Linked DNA regions of Ovis aries. The protein of the gene in region 1 interacts with the protein of each later gene in a biochemical or structural test. Links are inferred from orthologs where the notes say so. Each region holds a gene or a part of one and is shown in the gene's direction. Other genes may lie near its edges. The genes, in order: TNFRSF13B, TNFSF13B and TNFSF13.

Evidence for each region.
Region 2: the proteins of TNFRSF13B (region 1) and TNFSF13B form a complex in vitro, tested with the Homo sapiens proteins (3 studies listed by BioGRID and IntAct, with this or other methods). The link is inferred for Ovis aries from reciprocal best matches to the Homo sapiens genes TNFRSF13B and TNFSF13B.
Region 3: the proteins of TNFRSF13B (region 1) and TNFSF13 form a complex in vitro, tested with the Homo sapiens proteins (2 studies listed by BioGRID and IntAct). The link is inferred for Ovis aries from reciprocal best matches to the Homo sapiens genes TNFRSF13B and TNFSF13.

The regions. Positions count from the first base shown.
Region 1 is NC_056064.1:34,838,627-34,846,226, forward strand, and holds the start of TNFRSF13B (tumor necrosis factor receptor superfamily member 13B), read left to right. Parts: upstream 1-3,289; 5' UTR 3,290-3,294; coding exon 3,295-3,346; intron 3,347-7,600. UniProt on the Homo sapiens protein: Receptor for TNFSF13/APRIL and TNFSF13B/TALL1/BAFF/BLYS that binds both ligands with similar high affinity. Mediates calcineurin-dependent activation of NF-AT, as well as activation of NF-kappa-B and AP-1.
Region 2 is NC_056063.1:83,015,704-83,023,405, forward strand, and holds the start of TNFSF13B (tumor necrosis factor ligand superfamily member 13B), read left to right. Parts: upstream 1-2,520; 5' UTR 2,521-2,709; coding exon 2,710-3,027; intron 3,028-3,119; coding exon 3,120-3,210; intron 3,211-7,702. UniProt on the Homo sapiens protein: Cytokine that binds to TNFRSF13B/TACI and TNFRSF17/BCMA. TNFSF13/APRIL binds to the same 2 receptors. Together, they form a 2 ligands -2 receptors pathway involved in the stimulation of B- and T-cell function and the regulation of humoral immunity.
Region 3 is NC_056064.1:27,107,605-27,115,373, forward strand, and holds TNFSF13 (tumor necrosis factor ligand superfamily member 13), read left to right. Parts: upstream 1-3,968; 5' UTR 3,969-4,254; coding exon 4,255-4,512; intron 4,513-4,704; coding exon 4,705-4,749; intron 4,750-4,867; coding exon 4,868-4,946; intron 4,947-5,081; coding exon 5,082-5,129; intron 5,130-5,272; coding exon 5,273-5,391; intron 5,392-5,602; coding exon 5,603-5,741; intron 5,742-5,985; coding exon 5,986-6,095; 3' UTR 6,096-6,109; exon of another isoform or gene 6,110-6,522; 3' UTR 6,523-6,851; downstream 6,852-7,769. Other genes in the region: TNFSF12 (tumor necrosis factor ligand superfamily member 12), read left to right, coding at 1,981-2,105, 2,300-2,551. UniProt on the Homo sapiens protein: Cytokine that binds to TNFRSF13B/TACI and to TNFRSF17/BCMA. Plays a role in the regulation of tumor cell growth. May be involved in monocyte/macrophage-mediated immunological processes.

The DNA.
Region 1 (7,600 bases):
CTAAGAAATGTCCTTTTTTGGATACTCTTGCTTTTGTCTTGCCCCTGGGACTCTCTCAGAGCGGGTTGGGCCTCCAGGCGTGGGGCGGGGGGCAGCGGGGCCGCAGACAGTGCTGGGGAAGTGGTAGCCACCAGGCCCCGGGGGGCTGACACCACTCTAGGGGCTGGGACCTCAGGGCCCAAACCTCACACGCACATGTGGACAGTGGAGCCATCTTGCTGGAACATTCCGTCTGGCTGAGTAATTCCACCTAAGGAACTCAAGCCTTAGCAGGAGACACAGAAAAGGTAAAACACGCGTGCAAGGAAGGCGGGGACATTTAGAACAGAGCGTGCAGAGCTGTTTTATTTTTCTGGATGAGCACAGAAGAGCTTATCTAAAAAGACAAGGACTTGACTGATAAGATGTATTAAGTGGGGAAAGGACCCTGTTAACAGTGTTTAATCTGAAAGAACAAAATGTGTGGGGGGTGATGAGGCAAAATCCATCAGCTAGTGAAACGTGCATCCAGGTTCTGGCAGAGGCCAAGAGGCCAGATCAGCTCACTGGCTGTGGCAGAGCCTCCTGTTCTACCTGGCAGGAGGCCCTTCCTGCACAGGCTCGTTTCTCTTTACCATGTCCTGTTTAACTGTTTAAGAACATAGTGGAGTGGAACGAGCTCCAAACCCTGAGGTTACCCTGTCTTTGCTCCAGTTCTAGGACTCTCACATCCCCTTGATGGCGGAGCTTAAAATTAGAATGCCGAGTCTCCCCTGAGACACTGAGAAAGGGCTGCTTTCAGAATGAGAAGCAGAAATCTGGGCACCTGCTCTGAGGGCTCCTGGCACAAGGAGAGTCACACAGGGGTGCAGTTCCTGCTTGGGAGGTGACAGTCCCTGCTGGGGGGAGTCACTCAGGGGGGCAGTTCCCGGTGGGGGGGAAGTCACACAGGGGGGCAGTTCCTGCTAGGGGGGTAGTTCCTGCTGGGGAGGAGTCACACAGGGGGCAGTTCCTGCTTGGGAGGTGACAGTCCCTGCTGGGGGAGTCACTCAGGGGGGCAGTTCCTGGTGGGGGGAAGTCACACAGGGGGGCAGTTCCTGCTAGGGGGGTAGTTCCTGCTGGGGAGGACTCACACAGGGGGCAGTTCCTGCTGAGGGGGGCAGTTCCTGCTGGGCAGGAGTCACACAGGGGGCAGTTCCTACTGGGAGGGTGTAATTCCTGCTGGGGAGGACTCACACAGGGGGCAGTTCCTGCTGGGGGGGCAGTTCCTGCTGGGGAGGACTCACACAGGGGGCAGTTCCTGCTGGGGAGGACTCACACAGGGGGCAGTTCCTGCTGGGGAGGAGTCACACAGGGGGCAGTTCCTGCTGGGAGGGCAGTTCCTGCTGGGGGGAATCACACAGAGGGGTAGTCCCAGCTTGGGGGTGACAGTCTCCTCTGGGGGCAGTCACACAGTGGGGTAGTTCCTTCTGCGGGGGGCTGTGGTAGGGGAGGGGTCCCACGGGCTGCCGTCCTATGTGAGCTTCATGTTCATTGTTTGGGCAGAAGGAAATGAAGCTCCCTGAGATTCCCAAAGGCCCCCAGCTTGTTCTGTCTGGTGTAATAGAATCTAACCTTGAGCAAAGAGGCTGGAAGAAAGAAGTGGCGATCCTATTTGTAGGTTCCCTGCCCAGGAGCAGACATGATGAGTCTGTGGTAGCATCCGAATGCTGGCTATTCTGGGCGAGGGGGCTGCTGCCTGTGACGGGGAGGGAGGCCTTCTGGGGGCTGCAAACATTTCAGATCTGGATCTGGGGAGCATTCCCTGGGTTTGCCCCCTTGTAAGTAGTTGCTGGCCTGCCTGCTGAGAATACTGTATTTTACTGCGTGTAAATGACACCTCCAATTAAAGAAAAGAGAGTCAACAAAACTCATTGCTTGTAAACAGTGTTTGAACAAAAGCATTAACAAGCTGTGATCAGTAGTAACACTGGTGGTTGGGGTACCTGAGACTTCAGCTCTCATTGCCCAGAACCAGGGTGGATCTCGTTTTTCATTTCATGCATAACTTTGCTGATGTTAGAACTCCAAAGGATGAGACCGTGTGTGGCCATAGAGACAGCAGTCGGTGCAACGGGTCTGTTCCTGGAGGCACCATCTGCTCACTCCTGGGAGCCAGCTTCTCTGTGAGGTGGTGAGAGCCCCAGCCCTGGGGGTGCGCAAGTGGGTGAGGAGGCCTGCTTGTCTTTGTTTCACTGAAAGGTCTCTTACTGCAAGAATCAGGCTGCAAACAATTCTTTTTAACTCGACCATCAGTCTTAACAGTCTCCACAACCTCGGTACAGACTTGTCTCACTGTTTATGATGGCTGCGTTGCGTTCCAGGCTGTGCCTGTGAGCCTTGTGTGCTTGGCCATCGCTGCCTGGTGGGTACTGGCACTGTTTCCACAACAACCGTGCTCTGCTGGGCACGCTTTGTGGGTGCCTGTGGCCCCTGGAGAAGAGCTCCTGGTTCATGGGTCAGGCATAGGTTCTCCATGTTACCTGATGTGGACATCCACATCAGAGGTATCGGTGTTGCCATCCACACAGAGGTACCAACACACTTGCACGGGCCGGGGCTTGTGCCTCCCCAGATTTCCTCCACTCTCCATGTCAGCACACTTTAAGACTTTGTCATCTGGGGGGATGAAAAGTGACGCTGACAGGGCTGCAGTGCTCGTCCCAGACGCTGAGCCCTGAGAACCACCCTGAGGCCTGACGGTGCACTCAGCCCCTTCTCATCCCCACCTGTGACCTGTGAACCAGGGGCTGCCTTTACACCCACTTCACAGAAGGGGAAACGGAGGCACAGATAAGTTAAGTACTAAATTGCCACCATGGCTTCCTGCTGGGATGTGGCTGAGCCAAGACTCCAGCCCAGTCTGTTCGTCTCTAGTTCAGCCTCACGACTGCCTGGCTAGGAGTCAGGTCTGGGGTTGGGAAGCACAGAGAATCATAATTCACCTGGCCTGGGGGCAGTCAGGGATGACTTCCTGAAGGAGGTGGGCCTGAAGAAGGAAGAGGAGGAGATGACTGGGCAATGAAAGAGAACAGGGTTGCTGAGAAAGAGGGCTGGGCCACCTGCTGCAGCCTGGCATGTGCAGTGCACCCAGGGGCTCGGCAGAGAGCACTCAGGGCTCCTGGAGCGTCAGGCGAGTCCACCCCCTTGGCCGAGACAGACAGCGCAGGTGCGGCAGGAGGCAGCCGCTGATTTACATCCTATAGGTGGGGGGAAAACCCAGGAAGTGCAGCCGGGCACTAACCAAATCTGGGCTAAGAATAAACGTCCTGAGTAATGAGTGGCCTGGGCCGGAGAAGGCAAGGTGGCCGCAGCCAGGAGGAGCCGAGTAAGTAGCCGGGAAGGCGGTGCGGGGAGGGGAGGGGCATGAGGGGGTTTGGCTGGGGGCTCTGTGTGGCCTTGGGGGTGCAAAGGGAATGGCACCTATGGAAGATGGATGAGCTCGGGCCCCCCCGGGACTTCCTACCCTCCTGCACGTGGAGTGCCCAGAGACTGGGGGCCCAGGGTGGGGGCTGGCCTTGCTTTCCAGGGGAGCAGCCACGAGGCTGGAGGGTCAGCCACACGGGCACGAAGTCCCTCTACTGCCCAGGACCCAGAGCCGGGTGGGCCAGGACACTTTTAAGACATTCTATGTTGAAGTAGACACACGCAAAAGTAGGAGAGCTTAAGGAGCCTCCCACAGACATGACCCAGCGTGCGCTTTCCAGGACCCTTGGGCCCTGCCAGGGCCTTCAAAGGCCATCACAGTTTTGATCTGTAAATACCTCCGGATCTCTCTCTTAAAAACAAAACCCCAAAGGCCCTCACGCCAGGACGACTTCTGCAAAGAATGGTTCCTCGGTGTCACCAAGCGCCTGGGTTCACACTGCCTGGCTGTCTTGTGTCTTTTCCAGCTGGTTTGTTCAAGTCAGGACCCAGTCGCCATCCTTCTGGTTACACGTTTTAATCTAGAACATTCCCATCATGCCTCATGTTTTCCCTTGCTGCTTTTCTTTAATCAAAGAAACCAGATCATTTATCCTGTAGAATTGTTATCAGGGGAGGTTTTGAAGGTTTGTTCAAAGGCCAAAGCAGAAGGCAGCACCCAGGTCGGGCCAGGCTGTTCCATCCTCACACGCCATGCAGGGAGCACAGCCGTTCCGTGATTCTCTTTGTGGGGAGCAAACACATCCCAAGACGTGTCCCCAGCTACGGCTCGAATATACAAGACTCCTGGGATAGCTGGACCAGGCAGGGACCAGGGGTCGCTTTGACAGGGTGGACCCCTCAGGTCCACAAGTCAGGAGCCTGCCAGATCTGGGCCTGGCACTGCCAGAGCCTGCAGGAGCAGCAGAGTCGGGCCTGGCTTCCCTAGTCCACTGACCCGCTGTGTTGCTAATTATAAGTCCTTAGGAAAGCCTGTATATTTGCCTGGGAAAAAAACGTTCTAAATGATCTAACCCACCTGTTTGGTAGAAGTGGTAAAACCCCAAAGGACATTAAAGAAAGTAGAGATATTCTGCAGGATTAAGGGGTGGGACTTCCTAGGTGGTCCAGTGGTTAAGATTTCCCCTCCCAACTCAGGGGGTCGGGTTTGATGCCTGGTCGGGGGTTAGGATCTCACCCTGGAGGACCCCCTTCACCTCTCTGGGCTCCTCTTCCTCGGTTGTAAAACAAAGGTCTGCCTCTGCCCTATCAGATATCCCTGAGAAAATGCAGCCGGGCCCTGAACCCACCAGAGCCCCATCTGAAGGGCCACAGGCGAAGGCTCTGAGAAGGACTGCAGCTGGAAACAACAAAACTAAACTGACTTTCCTTAGCCCAGCATTTTTCAAACTAACTTGACCACAGGGGCCTTTCTTGGTCCAGTGCCTATGAGGCCAGGCGAGTGAGGGAGACTGCAGACAGCTGGGGAGCACAGGAGCCCAGGCCTGCAAGAGCCCTCCCTCCTTCCCTATCCTGCCAGCCAGGAACAATCTAGGGTGTCTCCTGCCCTTCTTTGGGGCTGAGGATGGTTCTGGAACCTTACGTAGGTCCCGGGGGTGGAGGAGGAGTGCGCAGGGACAGCGCCCTTTGGTCAGCTGGGCGGCTGTCATCTGGCCCAGTGGCTCAGAGCCTCTCAACCATGAGTGGGTCTAGGTGGCTCCCATCTACCTCTGTCCACCAGCCATCACCTCCCAGAGGGCTGGGGGGTGGCTGGTGTCCCCCTCCCTTCTCCCCAGATGAAGGAAGGACCATTAGGAGTCTCCCTTCAATTCTGTTTGGCCCTTTTGCTTTTTAACTAATGCATAATTGATTTACAATGTTTGTGTTAATTACTGCTGTATCGCAAAATGACTGTGGATATTACAAGGATACTGAATATAGTTCCCTATGCTATAGAGTAGGATCTTGTTGTTTATCTACTTTGTACAGAGTAGTGTGTATCTGCTAACCCCAAGCCCCTAGTTTAGGTCCTTTGCTTCATGAATAGATGCCAGTCCCAGGTTGGGAGCCCAGAAAGTATAAAAGGTACAGAACACAGCCTTCCTCTCCTCCAGGTCCTCCATCTGCCCAGTTTTCCTGTCTCCTGCAATAAACAGCTTTCTTAAGAGAATTTACATGACATAAAGTTCACCAGTTTAAAATCTACAACTCAGTGTTTTCAGTATATTTAGAGTTGTGCAACATCTCTACCATCTAATTTTAGAGCATTTTCATCACGCCACAGTCCTCCCCACCCCCAGCCCTAGGCTACCACTGTCTCTAAATTTGCCTATTTTGGATATTTTCTAAAAATGGAATGTGCTGTTTGATGACTGGCTTCTTCCACAAGCACAGTGATTTTGAGGTTCATCCATGTGGCAGGGTGTCAGTGCTTCACACCTTTTTATTGCCAAGTAACATTCCATTGTACGGGTGGGCCGCATCACTCATGACTCCTGGTAGCACTAGTGGTAAAGAATCTGCCTGCAACGCAGGAGATGCAATGGACACAGGGTTGATCCCTGGGTCAGGAAGATCCCCTGGAGGAGGACATGGCGACCCACATCAGTATTCTTGCCTGGAAAATTCCACGGACAGAGGAGCTTGATGGGCTACAGTCCATGGGGTTGTAAAGTGTCTGACATGACAGAGCACACACTCCTACATTACGATGGCAGTTCTGTGTTTAACATTCTGAGGAACTGCCAGACTGTCTTCCAAAGTGGCTGCACTGTTTTCAAGATCCTGCTGAACACACAAGAGTTCGTTCCTCCCTATCTTCCCTAACACTTGTCCGTACATTCATTTCCACCGTCCCAGCAGGTGGCTCAGCTCGGTTTTGGTTGTTTCCCTGATGACAAATGCTGTTCAGCATCTTCCCATGTGCTTATTAGCCATTCAGACAGCTTTTTGGGAAAATGTCTCGTTAACTCCCAAACCCATTTTTAAACTGGGTTATTTGTCTTTTCATTATTCAGTTGCAAAAGTTTTTGCCTATAATCTGGATACAAATCCCTTATCAGATACTCAATTTGCAAATATTTCCTCCAAGTCCGTGAACCATTTTTGATTTTCTTGATGGTGTTCTGTGAAACACAAAAGTTTAACATTTTTATTAAGCCTTATCTCTCAATCTTCTCTTTAACCATTTGTGCATCTGGTCTCACTGCCCAGCCCCAAAGCATGAAGACTTACTCCTGTTTTCTTCTAAAAGTTGTCTAGTTACATTTAGGTCTATGATCCACGGTGAGTTACTTTCTGGTGTGAGGCAGAGGTCCACATTCAGTCTTATGAAAGTGGCTATCCAGCTGTCTCAGCACTATGTGTTGAAAAGACTATACTTTCTCCTGTTGAATCTTCTTGTTACTCTTGTTGAAAACTAACTGACTGTAAATGCTCGGCTTTAGTTTGCGATTCTATTTCGTTGACCCATGTCTGTCCTTCTGCCAGCACCACACTGTCTTATTTACAGCTGGTTAGTAGTACATTTTAAAATTGGGAAGTGTGAGTCCTCTAAATTTGCTCTCTTTGAAGAGTGTTTCAGCTCTTTTGGGTCTCCTGCGTTTCCATATGATTTTAGGGGATCAGCTTGTCATATTTTGCAGAAAAGCTATCTGGGAATTCGACTGGGATTGCATTGAATCTGTAGAATAATTTCAAGAATATTGCTATCTTACCACTATTAAGCCTTTCCATCTATGCATGTGGGATATCTTTCCATTTAACTAGGTCTTCAGGAATGTTTTGTAGTTTTCAATGTACAAATTTTGCACTTCTTTCATTCAATGTATTCTTAACTATTTTACCTAAATCACTGTTTTTGGTTTCCTGTTTCCTTACAGTGTTTCTTTATGTACATACCCATAAATGTAGATTAGAACTTTCTCCCTTTTTTGCAAAAAGAAAGAGAAGAAGGGAGCCTATAAGCCATGCTGTTATGGAACTTGTTTTTTTTTTTTTTTTTCTCCACTTACTATATCTTAGAATTCTTTCCAGAGCAATAGAGAGAGAGCGTCCTCACTCCTCCTCTTCAGCAGCATCACAATCAGTGCCTCAGTGGATGCACCGTGCAGGAACAAGGACTGCTTCCCACTCCACCCGTCCTCCCTGAGGATGGCTCTGTGAGCATCTGCTCAGG
Region 2 (7,702 bases), on another chromosome or scaffold:
CCAGGACCGCCTGGGATGCAGGCAGACCGCTCATGGTTCTCTTTCCGAAGAGCAGCTGAAGGCAAAGCTAACTTCTCATAGGAAAGTCTTCCCTTTCTTTTCTGAACTTTTACTGCAGAACACAGAGAGAAGTGGCCTGTCAGAACGGGAAGGATGCCCACCCACAGAAAGACACTGCGGGTGTCCAGGGTGAAAAAGAGAGAACTCGGCTTCCAGCACTGCCTTCAATTCTTTTGTTTTTCTATGTGCTTAGGTATTATGAATGTGTGGTAAGTTGCTTCAGTCGTGTCCGACTCTTTGAGACCCTATAGACAGTAGCCTGCTAGGCTCCTCTGTCCATGTCCTTCTCCAGGGGATCCTCCCAACCCAGGCGAGTTCTTGACCACTAGCACCACCTGGGAATACACACCCATATAATCTGGGTGAGTTCCAATTACTTTCAGTCAGAAAGTAATCCCCAAACTAATCCTCTTTTGAAAAACTGAACAAAGGTCCATCTAGTCAAGGCTATGGTTTTTCCAGTGGTCATGTATGGATGTGAGAGTTGGACTGTGAAGAAAGCTGAGTGCCAAAGAATTGATGCTTTTGAACTGTGGTGTTGGAGAAGACTCTTGAGAGTCCCTTGGACTGCAAGGAGATCCAACCAGTCCATCCTAAGGGAGATCAGCCCTGGGTGTTCATTGGAAGGACTGATGCTGAAGCTGAAACTCCAATACTTTTGCCACCTCATGCGAAGAGTTGACTCATTAGAAAAGACTCTGATGCTGGGAGGAGTTGGGGGCAGGAGGAGAAGGGGACGACAGAGGATGAGATGACTGGATGGCATCACCGACTTGATGCACGTGGGTCTGGGTGGACTCCGGGAGTTGGTGATGGACAGGGAGGCCTGGCATGCTGCAGTCCATAGGGTCGCAAAGAGTCGGACATGACTGAGTGACTGAACTGAACTGAAAAACTGAACTGTTACCTGGTGTGTTTTGTCCTGATTGACTGGAAACAAGCACTGTCAGGAAGCTTGTGTTCCACAAAAGATTCTGCACACCCACTGACAGATGACGACTCCCACCAGCGAAATGGGACCAAGGGAATCACTGAAACACTTTTTCATTTTTTTAAACAGAAAAATATTTTTAAAAGTCATTTTTAAAGGTCTTGGAGCTTGCAGGTGCAAAGGGGAAAAAAAAAAAAAAACAATCCCAATAGATAAAAATGAATAAGGCTGATGACATGACACTTAGTGAGACACGGAGGAAGCATGCAGTCCTGGCAGGTAACTCGGAGACACCTGGTCAAGGTGAGCACAGGCCTTTTCTCCAGCAGGTGGGTGCCCGCGAAGCCCTTGCAAAGACGTCCATTGCGGCAATAATGAACATATTACAATTGAATAAGTGAAACATTCTGTTCATAAAATGAATGAATAGATTCCACATAATGAATGAATGGGATGAATGGAAATGGAAGCATCTTCAGGGCAGCTTGCTCCACATTCCCGGGAGTCTTGTCAGGATTCTCAGGGACAGTTATCACCCACCCAGAGAGGACACTGACTCACAGGCCACACCATGTCCAACAAGGGAGACTTGAAGGCCAAGCCCCTCTGGGTGGAGCCGCATCCACCCAGGTTGGGTCATATGTTCGACTGGCTCGAGTGGGCCTAATGGGGAAGAGCAGATAAGCTGCTCTAGGAAGAGAGCAGTTAATGAGGGTTCCGGGGACACCAAGAGCCAGAGAAGGTCGCTTCTTTCCCAACCAGTGTGCTGGGGACTTGCAGCTCCAGAAGTGGGGACCGCAGAGGTGGGAGGGTCCTGGAGCCTGGCCCGCCCCTGAATGGCTGACTCCCAGCCTCCCAGGATCCCAGAGTCCCTGGAGGAAGACCTCAGATTTCTCTTGGAAACTGCACCCACCCACGTATAAAAGCTACCCCCCCCCCCAACCCTCCACCTCCCACCCACCCCCCCCCCCCCCCCCCCCCCCCCCCCCGCGAAGCTGATCTAAACAGTTCTCCAGAATGCAAGAACATTCTTTTTATCACATCACCAAGACGATAATGGAGCAGAGTGCCTTCCAGCGGACCTCTGCGCCTCCTTTGAGGACACTTCATTTTATTTCCTACTTAAAGACTGTTCGTAAATCACTCTCCAGGGGTGCCCGGTTCACTGCTGAAGCACTTAGCTTATCTGACCTTCACATGGATTATCTTGATCACATTTAGCAGGAGTTTATTCCTGTTCTTTCCCGCTTCCCTACAAAGCCACGTGGCCCCAAGTGGACCCAGTCCTCTCCTAATGCCTGAGGGGCAGCTCTTCAAACACTTTCCTGTCTTAAAAGCTCCCCAGAGAGTGCTGGTCCGAACTGCCAGTTCCCTCCCCATCAGTAGATCTTCAGGCCGCCCCCGCCCCACCCGGGTCTGTGCATGAGTGTTCTGAGATGCCATTAAAATTCTTACAAAAACTGAAAGTGAAATGAGGAAGACCGATTGAGCAATCGGATAGAAGGGTGAATGCCAGGAAGACCTAGCCTACAGTTGGGGCAAGAGATGCAGCCGCGACAGAGAGGAGAAAATTCAGGAGAACTCGCCCCAGGGCGAGCGCCGCCGGGCTGGGCCGTGTAGTCAAAGTGGGACATCTACAAACCCAGATAACAGGAAATGATCCATTCTCTGTGGTCACTCAGGCTAGGGGCCCCAACCTGCAAAGTTCAAGGAGGGAAATGGATGACTCCACCGGGGAGCAGTCCCGCCTTTCTTGCCCTCAGACCAGAGAAGAAATGAAACTGAAGGAGGGAGGCTCCGTCCTGCCCCAGGAGGAAAGCCCCTCCGGCCGGTGCTCCAAAGATGGAAAGCTGCTGGCCGTGACCCTGCTGCTCGCCGCCTCGTCCAGCTGCCTCACGGTGCTGGCTTTCTGCTGGGTGGCGTCCCTGCAAGCGGAGCTGGGCAGCCTCCGGGCGGAGCTGCGGGGGCGGCCGGGCGCCCCCCAGGCCGGAGCCGCGGCCCCGCGGGAGGCTCCCGGCGTCACCCCCGCCCTGAAAGTGAGTGTGCCGCAGTAGCCGCAGCCCCCCGCCGCCGCCCCCGCCCCAGACCCCGACGCCCCGGCAGTAACGTGGTGGGGCTTTTCTCTTAGCAGCGGATCTTTGCACCCCCAGCTCCGGGAGAAAGCAATTCCAGCCAGAGCGGCAGGAGTAAGCGTGCCCTGCAGGAGGCCGAAGAAACAGGTACGTGTGCGGGGAACAGAAGCGCCCAGGGGTCCGGGCTCCAGGGCTCAGGTGAGGAGGAGAGCATCCTGCCTGGGAGAGGGACGCCGAACAGAAGCCGGAGGCTGGAAAAGGCATCCCAAGCCCGTGTGCCCCCCAGGGCGGAGCCAAGCCCTGGCCAGTGTCCTGGGCTGACCGCGTGTGGCAGCACCTTTTGGGGGCATCCGTCCGTGCCGCGGCGCTTAGAGCACAGAAGAGGGGAGAGGGGCTCACCTCTCCGCTCAAAGAGAGAGCTCGCGCCCACGTCGGGAGCACCGTCTGGCAGTCCCCGGGCGGGGGCGGGGGGGAAGCGCCAGGAGCTAGTCTGGAATGAGGTTTGGTCCAGACGAGGGGCAGACCGCATCTCCGAGGGGCGTAGCTGCTGCGAAACCACGTGGAGACCAGGCAGGTGCACGTTGGTGCTCTATGCGATTTCTTCCCTTTTCAAAAAGAAGCCTATTTTACACACTGGGGCACAGAGATTTTAAAGCTTGTCCTTATTATAATGCTCTTCCAGGAGCTCCGCAGGTTTATAATCTGTAATAGTTCTTCAGTGATTTCTACCTGCTCCAGAGACATCTCAGATTTGGGAGGGGGGACACCCCAAACTTTCAGCCTCAGTTCCTTCCATCCTCCATGTCAAGGATGGAAAAGAGAATTTGCATTGCATTACTAATATTGCAATTTAATAAACCCTTGGTGCTGTTTCCCGTTTATATTACAGGAGCATTTTTTGAACCCCTAGAATGTGCCAGGCAGGCTTGTATGGGGGAGAGGTGTTGTCGTGTCTGTTTCCTTTAACCTTAGTGCTGACTATGAGGCAAACTGATGAGGTGTAATTATTTACCTGTATTTGCACTTTGAAGGAGAGTGCTTGAGAGATAGGTTAGGTGTTCTGTCTGTCTGTCTGTCTCTCTCTCTCTCTCACACACACACACACACACACACACGATGCTCCTTCTGTAAACTTATTTTTCACTAAATGCCTTATTCATGGAAAAAATTCCTCCCTAGTTTTATACGGCAATACATTTTGTATCTGCTTATCATACCCCCATGCCAGTTGTCAGAAACAACTGGGTTTATACATTTTAAAACTGGAAAATGCTCATATTTTTACTATAACATCCTAATTTTCATATTTTGCATTTTGTCATCCATATTTTCTGCATAATTGAAGAAATACGGCACATATACTGTGGCATATTTTTGTGTTGACTTATTGCACAATAAACTTTTTCCTTATTTCTAAGTAATTCTCACATATACTGATTTTATTTGTTGTCTTATAATTATGATCATTTCCATTTTTTTTTGGTAGAATGGAACATGTCAAAATTTTTGCGCAAATCTCTTTGTTTCTGAGGAATTCTATGCATACACTCAATGTGAATTCCGTAGATAGAATGTCTGAGCCACAGAGGATGGGCATCTTCGTCGCCCTCGCTGCCTGCTGCAGCATCCAGATGGACTATGAATGGATGCAGCAGAGATGCAGTGTGCAAGTGCTTCACAGCCTTACACGCTTTACCTTTAAAGACATATTTTGCCCAGCTCAGTAGGTGAAAAATAGTGCCTCAAATTTAATTTGTGGCTTGCTTACAAATAAGAATTATCTTCTTTTTGCATGTTTTGGTAGCTTCTAATTTTATCCTCTACTAATTTTTATAACTTCCCTCACTCATCTGTCCTATTTTTAAAATAATTTTGAATAAGCTCTGTGTTAGGCATCTTGTTTATCAAAATTTTGATGTAAATGTTTTCACAATATTTTGCTGCTTTTTAGAACTTGTACAGACATCTTACATCTGTATATTTTAATGTGATAGCCTTTTTAAAAATTTTCTGTAAGATACCAAAGTTAAAATACATATTTATCCATAATCTCTTAAAGCAGTTTGCTATTTTTTCTGCTATTTTGACTTTTTTTCTAGTAATTTAGTGTTGTAGTTTGGTATTAAATCCGTTAGTCCTGGAGTTTATTGTGGAGAATCATGTTATACTAGCCTTAACTTCTCCTTTCTTCTCTTACTTTTTCCTTCCAAAGTGTTGCTAAATATCTAAACCAAATTAATTAGACGATTCTTTTTAGTTCATTTGCGTTGAAACATTTACTATATTGTATTGAGTTCCTCATATATAGTTGAATCTATTTTGAGACTGCTTTTTTTCATTGATTTATTATCCGATTTATCTGCATTAAATGTTTTAAGGAATTTTGTAATAAAGTGAGCTTCAATATCTAGTAGGGTGAGAATGCCTCATTCTCCTTCAACCTTGTCTGCTAGTACTCTTGCCTATAAATTTATTATTAAAAATAAACCCTAGCTCGCCTATTCCAAGAGGATATAGACCCATTACAGCAGATTTAAGAAGGAAAAAACTGAGTAAGAAATGAATAACTCCCTAAGTCCCACTTCCCCAAAATATGTTCTATTAATATATTAATATTTTAAAATTTCATCCCATGTGAATGATTTCTCACATTTGTGTGTCTAAGGCATCCAAAAAGGATATACTCACAGAAATTCTTCCCCAAATAACTTTCAATGTTTAGACAATTTGGAGAATAACTGAAAATTCTAACCAATGAATAAGAATCCACCCAGTTTCCATAGCACAGATGTAATCACTATTATCAATATCCTGGTTTATCTCAGATTTTTATAGAACTTTAATGTAGCGTATATATGGTATATATATTATATTTATGTATGTATATCGTGTATATATACAGTACAAACTGCATATATATGTAGAGAATATACATTGTATATTTAGTTACATATGCAGTACTTAGTTACATATATATCTCTATGTTTCTCTCTACATATACTTATAGCATTCATAGATCCCAGAGGAAAAATTTAAAGATGAGAAACTCAATGACAGTTATTATCAGCAAGTCTTGTCAGTAAAATTGACTTGAATGTTCCATCCTTTCAAGCAGAGAAAATGTCCATTTTGCTTAGCACTACTTTAAAATTTGTTTATGTATATACCAAGAAGCTTGTATGAAGCTACATGATTTTCCTTTGTTTTCCGTTTGGTAAGGAATTGAGGAGGTTTGGCAATTGAGGAGGTTCTATGCAGTTTGAATCTATGGAACTTTCTTTGGTTCTTGATTCCATTCTAGTTGTGACTTATTTTAAGTAAAGCTCAAAAGCCTTAGGTTATCCCTTTTAGTTTATATTAGTTATCTATATATGTTTAGATACATTTAATTGGAATTTTATAAAGCCTGTAACTGAGGAAAAATGAATTTTCACATTTTGAATTTATCTATTCAAGAATTTTTAATACCTATGTTAAATATAGAAGTTTAAATTCCACAATAAGGCAGTTTTCCTTATATAGGTTTCACTATTTTTCATGATTAATTTAAAAATGTTACTGTTACTTTGGAGCCTTGGCATTTTCAAATTGCTTGTTAAACTGTTTTAAAAAATACAGTTTGCAAGTAAATGATGTATAGTATTTGACCTCACACTTATTTTTAAGCCACACCAGGGCACTTAGTGGATTTATAACTAACAGAATTATAATATTCTTCTAGATTTTTCCTAGAATATTCTGCTTTCTCACGTCAGTTTTGTCATCATTTTATAACCATGCTCAGAAGTTTCACAGCTAAGTATGGTTAAGTAATATACCAGAATGTTACCCATTCTTATTTTCCTATAAATCCAACCCAGATTTCAGCAGGCATCTCAATTTTATTTGGTATATATTCAGTTTGTAAGTAAATTCCAGTATGTTGTGGGCTAGAAAGTCTGACCTCTCCAGAACACAGCAAGCCTAGTTCTTTCAGTATCTGATACTCATCACAGATCACCTAGGAAGGTTCTTTTCATTTGTGTGCAGGCTATCTGTACAACTAAATAGTAGAGACTTCTGTAGTCTGGTCCCATTTCTCCTATTGTACAGTCATCATGATACTTGCCCCCTGTAGGTATTCCATGAACATGCATGAATTAATTTAGGGCTCAATATGAAATAAGATGGGATGATTTAGGAATGATTTGGGATCAGCTTGCTTCCCCCATGGCTCAGCCATAAAGAATCTACCTGCAAAGTAGGGGGCACAGAAGACGCAGGTTCAATGCCTGGGCTGAGATGATCCCCTGGAAGAGGAAATGGCAACCCACTCCAGTATTCTTGCCTGAAAAATCCCACGGACAGAGGAACCTGGCGGGCTACAGTCCAAAGGGTCACAAAAGAATTGGACACAGCTGAGCGACTGAGCGCCCAGCACCAAGTGACATCATCGGGGGGGGGGGGAAGGGATTTTCCCATATTTCTTCATTTGTCAAGTTTTGATCAAAGGCTCTCTTATGAAATTTTTAAAACTTGACCTTTTAAAGAACTGCTTAACCAAAGAAGAGCTTGATCAGAAGACTCAAGTCCCAGGGGTGTGATCTGGAAACTCCTTGCCTCGGACTCTCTCGCTACCCCAGGCAGAGGCAGTATTTGG
Region 3 (7,769 bases), about 7.7 Mb from region 1:
GCTTGGGTGCTTGATAAGAGGTAGAACCAGGAGCCCAATGTGGAATGCAGTCAAGCAAATTTGGGGTTGGGGGGCAGGCTCAGTTTTGGTCTAGGTGAGTTTGCAGTGGGGAGCATGGGGAGGTTACTCTAATGGCAGGCAGGTAGCAGTGTCAGGCAGGGCAGGCACGGGCAGAGCTGGAGACTCAGATTGGAGTCTTGTGAAATAAAAGCCAAGGCAACCCATAGGTAGGGATGAAAATGCCCTGTGAGCATTATGTTCCTGAGAAAGGAACCAGGAGAGCGCCCCGGGGCAGGCAGAAGATGGGGGTGCCGGGAAGGAAGCTTCCCAGGCTACCGAGATGAGGTGCCGGAAGCCCCGGAGAGCAGCCTGTGGACCCAAACAAGAGACAGATGCCCCTACAGCCTCTTCCTCCTCTGTTTTCTTCCCACCAGCATGTGCTTGGTGTCTGCTCAGAGCAGGCCCAGCTGCAGGGCCTGAGGTGCAGTAACCAGACCAGTTCCCCTGCTCCTTGGGGGAGGCAGACCCCAAACTATCACAGAAGGAAATAAAGATGATTTCTGTCCTTGGGGACTGCTATGAGAGAGATGCGGTGAGTGGAGAGTTTAACGGAGACTAGCTATTAATATTTCAGACTGGGAGGCCTGGGGAGGTCACTCAGAGCGACCAGACTGACTAAAGGGAGGGAGGAATCCTAGGGGGAGGGAAGAGCAGTAAAAACCCTGTGGAAACAGTGAGCTTGGTGCCTGGCAGGAACAGAAAGTGGGCCTGAGGGCCTGGAGTCTTGTGACTTGGAGGAATGTGTGAGATTAGATCTGAGAGGTAAACAGGGGTGGCTCATGGAGGGCTGGGAAGTCACTTGAGACCCTGCTTTGTCATTTGATTCTTTGTCTTCTTTACAACTTGCAATTACCTTTACTCTAGTTTTGTTGTTGTTAATGGCTTTATTGAGATATAATTCACATACTATACGATTCACCTTTTTAAAATGTACAGTTAAGCTTTTAGTATAGTCACAGAATTGTATGACCATCACTACAGTAATTTTAGAGAGTTTTCATGACCTCAAAAAGAAACCCTGTACGCTTCACCCACCACACTGTATTTCCCTGATCTCCTCCAGCCCTAAGCAACTGCTAATCTACTTTTTGTCTCTATGTATTTGTTTATTTGGAAATTTCATGTGCATGCGTGTTCAGGCACTTAGTCATGTCTGACTCCCTGCGACCCCATGGACTGCAGCCCTCCAGGCTCCTCTGTCCATGAGATTCTCCAGGCAAGAATACTGGAGTGGGTTGCCATTTCCAACTCCAGGGGATCTTCCAGACCCAGGGATCGAACCCCCATCTCTTGAGTCTCCTTCACGGGCATGCACATTCTTTACCATTGTGCCACCTGGATATTCATAGAACATGTGATCCTTTGTGACTAGCTTCTTTCACTTAGCATAGCGTTTTCTTGTTTCCTCCACATTGTAGCCTGCATTAGTACTCCATTTCTTTTTATCCCATTGTATGGACTTAACACGATTTTCCTTATCCATTCATTAATGGATGGAGGTTTGGGTACCATTTTATTAGTTTTTTTTTTTTTAATCTTTTTCCCTTTTGATTATCTTTAATTTTAATAACCCAAGGAATATATGATTCAAGTAAAGCATCCATACCTTCTCCAAGTAAAAGAGCAAATGGTGCAGACACAACCTATAAAAGCCCCCATGCTTCTTGAGTCCTACTCCTCTCTCCAGAAGCAGCTGGTGAGAACTTGCTGTCTATCATTCTAGTCCTCTATGTCGGGTTTCTTCCCCTAACTTCCTATCACACTCCCAGCTCCTTAGGCCGCGGCTCTTCCCTTCCCCTGGGCCTCCTAGATATCTTCTGGGTAAAGTGGGCCCAGAGGTTTATAAACTCAGTGTCTCATCAGCCAGTGTGAGAAAGTTCTCTAGAGGGATTTCCCCTGTCTCTGAACACCCACATTCAGGTGTGGACGGGACGGTGAGTGGCTGGGAGGAGGCCAAAATCAACAGCTCCAACCCCCTGCGCTATGACTGCCAGACCGGGCAATTTATGGTCACCCGGGCTGGGCTGTACTACCTGTACTGTCAGGTAAGCCCCACCTGGCTCCACGGGTAAAGCCGGAACTGAAGGAGAAGGGTTGGGCTTCGGGGTTGGGGGCAAGTTAAAGGTGGGGAGGGGGAGCGTGGGGTTTGGGCTGAGAGGAGCCTTGGGCCTCTCAGGACACCTGAGATGAAGCCGAGGGCCAGCAGACCCTGAACTCTGCCCCTCCCCTGCCTCCCCAGGTGCACTTTGATGAGGGGAAGGCTGTCTACCTGAAGCTGGACTTGCTGGTGGATGACACGCTGGCCCTGCGCTGCCTGGAGGAATTCTCGGCCACTGCGGCCAGTTCCCCTGGGCCCCAGCTCCGTCTCTGCCAGGTGTCAGGGCTCTTGCGCCTGCGGCGAGGGTCCTCCCTGCGGATCCGCACCCTCCCCCAGACCCAACTCAAGGCTGCCCCCTTCCTCACCTACTTTGGACTCTTCCAAGTTCACTGAAGGGCCCCGGTTTCCAGGTGGCTTGTCCCCACGGCCGCTCTCTGAGCACCCCTGTCCCCTCTGTCCCACCCTGAGCTGCTCCTCCCCCAGACCTGCCTCTACCCCCGGAAGGCTGCCAGGGCTCACGTGATGTCCGTGCCACTCAAATATTCCCAGCCTCGCTGACAGCTCTCCCCACCTCCAGCTCTCCACCTCACTAGCTCCCCAGCCCCATTTATCTCCTGACTCCCCAACCCTGGCTGCAGCCCCCCAGGACACTGTGTTTACTGTACTCTGGGTGATGATGGGTCGTGCATACCCCCTCTTCAGCCACTAAGAGGGGCCAGATGCCAGAGAGACTGGGACTAGGCCAGGAGTTCCCGAATGTGAGGGGTCAGAGACCAGGACAGGCTCCTCCCCTGATAATTCCCTGTGGATTTTTAAAACAGATATTATTTTTATTATTATTGGGACTAAATGTTGATAAGTGGATATTAAAGAGAATATGTCATGGTTGCTGTCTTTATTGGGGCTTAGGGGATATCCTCAGGGTAGCTGAGGGCCAATGGAAGGTGGGGGTCTGGGAGGTGGGGGGTGGGGGAAGACGGTCACCTGGAATTCCAGGACGACATCCAGGCTTGGGCATGGAGACCTACGTGCCTTGAAACCCCAGGCAGGAGAAGAGAATCAAAAGGCAAACTGCCAGGGGAAAAAAAAATCAATTCTCTGCCCAAGGTCCAGCAGAAGTGGCCTGATTTACCTAGGAGGCGGGCTTCCTCCTGTGGGGAATCCCTGGGCTGGGAGGGCAGCGGCCCTTCCTGTTGGCAGCCTGGGCACCTGCAGCAGGTGCTGGCACCAGTCTGAGCTGGTATTTGGCGCAGGGAGGGGGGAAGCGGGGGGTGGGCAGGGAAGCAGGCGCGACGTGGGGGCTCAGGGTCAGGAAGTGGGACACTAGGGCCCAGGGACACGGGAAGCTGCGCCCCAGGGTCCAGGCAGGAGTCCTACAGTGGTGGGGCGCTCTGGCTGTCTCTTTCTCATTTGTCCAGAGCCTTATGTAAGAGCGTTTCTGGGGAAACAGGAAGTCCCGCTTGCCAAGTTCAGCAGAGAGTAGTGCAGGCCTTCTTCCAACACACCCGGCCTGGCCTTAACCCCGGAACTCAGCCAGTTCCTTGCTTCCCCGACCCTGGTTCTCCTCCCCACTAACCCCCTCTCCTCCCCTCCTCGCCCACCTTCAGTCACGGTGAGCGGACTGCCCCGGAAATCTCACCTGTGCCAAGGCGCGAGGGTCTTCCACTCTCCACCCTTGACCCTCGGTGCTGCCCAGCATGTCTCTCCATCCCGGCTCCTGGCACCATGCCCCAGAGCCAGCCAACCTTCCCTCCCCCACTTCTGGGGCCGCCCCGGGGTTCCTGCGCTCTGGCCGCTCCTCCTGGGTGTCACTGGGAGCCCTGTCCTTCCTAGAGAGACTAACACCAAATTCTCCTGAGGCTGGAGGAGGTGAGGGGTCTCGGGATAGTGCTGGCCCCGCAGCAGGGTGCCAAGAGCACCAGCAGTGCCCCAGCTTGCTTCCCGCCTCCCTTCTTTTTATTCTCAAGTTCCTTTTTATTCCTCCCTTGCGTAACGCCCTTCTTCCCTTCTGCACCACTGCCTGCACCCCCACCCTCCCCGTCACCTCCTTGCCATCCCACTCCTGAGACCACAGCTGTTGGCAGGGTCCCCAGCTCATGCCTGCCTCATCTCCTTCCTTCCTAAGCCCCAAAGGGCCCCAGGAAGACATGGGGGGACCCGTCCGAGAGCCAGCACTCTCAGTTGCCCTCTGGTTGAGTTGGGGGGCGGCTCTGGGGGCTGTGGCTTGTGCCATGGTTCTGCTGACCCAACAAACCGAGCTGCAGACCTTAAGGAGAGAGGTGACCCGGCTGCAGAGGAACGGAGGGCCCTCCGAGAAGCGGGAAGGGAATCCATGGCTGAATCTCCAGGAGCAGGTGAGTGAGGGGAGAAGCATGTCTGGCAGAAAAGGATGCGTGGCAGGGTGGTCTCTGGGTTTCTCAGTTCTAGCAGCTTGGTCGGCAAAGTTTGGAATGGGTGCAAGAGAGGGTCCCAGGGTTTGGAGGTCAAGGGAGCAAGCATTCCAGGAAAGGAAATTGTTAAAGATTAATGCTTTTCATACCTAACAGATTCTGGAGGAGAGCCAGTACCCAGACTCAGGTTGCTGGGGAAAGGTGCAGGAGAGATGTGAGGCATTCCTGGGGCAGGTGGGAGGTGGGGGGTGGGGGTGGGGAAAGGCTTTCCTGGGACCCTTGCATCTTAGCCTAACCCTGACCCTCTTTCCACAAGCAGAGCCCTGATGGCACAGAAGGCTGGGAGAATGGGGAGAGATCCCGGAGAAGGAGAGCAGTGCTCACCCGTAAACAGAAGAGTGAGGCCTCCGGGGTGCAGCAGGGGTGGGAGGTGATCCACAGCAGGGGGATCTGGAGACTGCAACCCTGAGCCAGGGCGAGGGTGGAGGGCTGACAGTCGTGCAACTGCTGAGATCTCCTCCCTCTTTCCCCAGAGAAGCGCTCAGTTCTGCATCTTGTTCCCATTAACATCACCTCCAAGGGTGAGCACTATTTCCAATCATGGCTTTGGGGTCGGGGGCAAGATCTAGGAAGTGTGGGACTGGCACATCAGCCAAAGAGAACCTTAGAGAATAAGTGTCTGAGTGTGCACAGAAATCCTCACTGCCACATTCTTTGCCTCCAGAGGACTCTGATGTGACAGAGGTGATGTGGCAACCAGCTCTCCAGCGTGGGCGAGGCTTGGAGGCCCAAGGATATGTTGTTCGAGTCTGGGATGCTGGAGTTTATCTGCTGTACAGCCAGGTAACCCCAAATATCCTCTGAGCCTCACCTGAGGGCCTGGAGGTCTGTTTTCCCAAAGCCTTGTGCCCCAGCACTGAGGTTTAACCCCTATCCATACCCCACTTAGAGGGCCCTTCTTCATTCCTTGGCTCCTTTGTCAGGGCTCCTGAGGCTGCCCGGACCCGAGCCATGCCAGCCCACTTTATTCAGCATCCCCTCCCTTCCCTGTCAGGTCCTGTTTCATGATGAGACTTTCACCATGGGTCAGATGGTATCTCGGGAGGGACAAGGAAGGCAAGAGACTCTATTCCGATGCATACAAAGCATGCCCTCCAACCCTGACTGGGCCTACAACAGCTGCTACAGTGCAGGTGAGAGGTGGGTGGGCGGTGCAGGGTGGTTATGAGGGGAGCAGATGCCTGACCTGGGGCAACAAGTAGGGGAGCTATGGCAGGGGCTTGGAAGCTGGGGTGTAGAGGCGGAGGTGAGGAATGGACAGAATGTGGTAGTCCTTACAGGAGACAAACATAACGTTGAGCTGGATAAGGGAGGGGAAACATCAGATTATCTGTATGGCTGTGCTTCACTGAGCATCTGTTTTCTCCCCTTTCTCAGGTGTCTTCCATTTACACCACGGGGATATCTTGAGTGTTATAATCCCTCGGGCAAGGGCCAAACTTAGCCTCTCTCCACATGGAACCTTCCTGGGGCTTGTGAAACTGTGACTGTGTTGTAAAAGGTAGTTCTGAGCTTGGAAGACCAGGGTGGGTACACTTTGGAGACGGCCAAGAGCTGATTAGACAAAGGACAGGGAATAGTCAGGAACAGAGGCCTGCCTCTGCCCCCAGGTTTGACAGCTCATGACTCTCCCTTGTTCCCACCCTCACCCCCAGGACTTTGAATTCACGGATATTAAAGAGGTAGAATAGCTTCTTCTTATTCTCCAGCCCCAAATTCTTGAGGGAGTCGGGTAGGGTTGGGGGTGGGAAATGCCAGGCTTTGTCTAGACTTCCTTTGGGTCCCACTGGAATGCTTCCAGAACAGCACCACCATCTAGCGGCGGTTTGAGACAACCATCCTCTCGGTTGGCAAATGTCCACGAGTTCTTCCTCCGCTCAAACTCCTGGTGCTTTACACCACACCTCTCTTTAGGTACCCTCTGCCTCTCCACCTACAAGAAACCCCATCCTCACTTCGCTCTCTATCTACTGGACTCCAGTTTCCATCACTATCTCCAGAGGTGTTAATTGTTAGGCGCCGGTCTGCAGAGGGTGCCTGATGCCGACGGCCCCCTTTCAACCACACCATTACTCTTCAGGTCCCAAGTTTTGCTTTCACTCTGTCCACTATCGTGGCCCGGCAGGCCGGGTCGCCTTGGCTAAATCATACGCCCCAGTCCTGATCCTGACTCACTCCTCTGATCTCTCCTTTCTGCGCAAGCCCTGCCCAAAATTTAAAAATAAAGAATAAATAAGACCTTGGATCCATTTCCCCCACTGCTGTGCCTCAGCCCCGTCCACGCACCTCCCAGCCCACGGACCTCCCAGCCCTCTTCCGACGCGCTTCACTGCACCCACGTGTCAGGGCCCCCAGTTCAGCCTCCGGGGTGCCTGGAACACCAGGCTACACCGCGCGGGGGCGGAGGGCGGAGGATCGGCACGGGACACGCAGGCGCAAAAGAACTAATGGAAGGGCTGCCAGGAGCAGCTCGGGTTCAGGGGGTGTGCGCAGGCGCAGCCCTGACTGGAGCTCGTGGGCGGGGCGGTCCCGTGGCGTCTGCGCTCTCGGGTAGGCGGGGCTAGGCGCGTGGTGGCCCCGCCGGCGCTGTTCGCCGGGTGTGACGCACTAATTGTGCGCCACCGCGGCCGGTGGGCCTGGGGCTCGAGGGAGGGGAAGGAGGAGGGGGAGGTGGTGGAGGTGGAGGCTGAAGCAGAGCAAGAGGCGGCCGCGGCGGGGTGGCGCGGCGCGCGGCCCAGAAGCGTTGGAATCCTGAATTGAGACGGCTGCGCCTGAAGACAGCAGAAGTCGTGGGGCCGCCGCCGGCGGAGAGATGAGCCGGGAAGCCTGAGGCCGGAGACGCCCGCCCTCGGGCCTGTCCGCCCGGCTTCCCCGCTCTGGGTGAGGACGCCCCCTCCCCTCCCCCCAGCTCTGCCACGGCCTCTCCCATTTCTGGACCCCATTCCCACCTAATGGGGGCCCAGGAGGCCCTCGAAGAGGCTTTATAAGGCCCTTGCACGCGGAGTCTCCCGAGCCCGTAGGACCACACCGGTGCTGGGACGCATTCGGGTCCCCAGGACGGAGCAGGAAGGGGGCTGGGCCAACCTGGCTTGGCTGAGTTCCGTCTCAGCGCGCCTTGACTCGGCTCCTTAAGCGCCATCCGGTTCTCTTTCAGTTTCCTC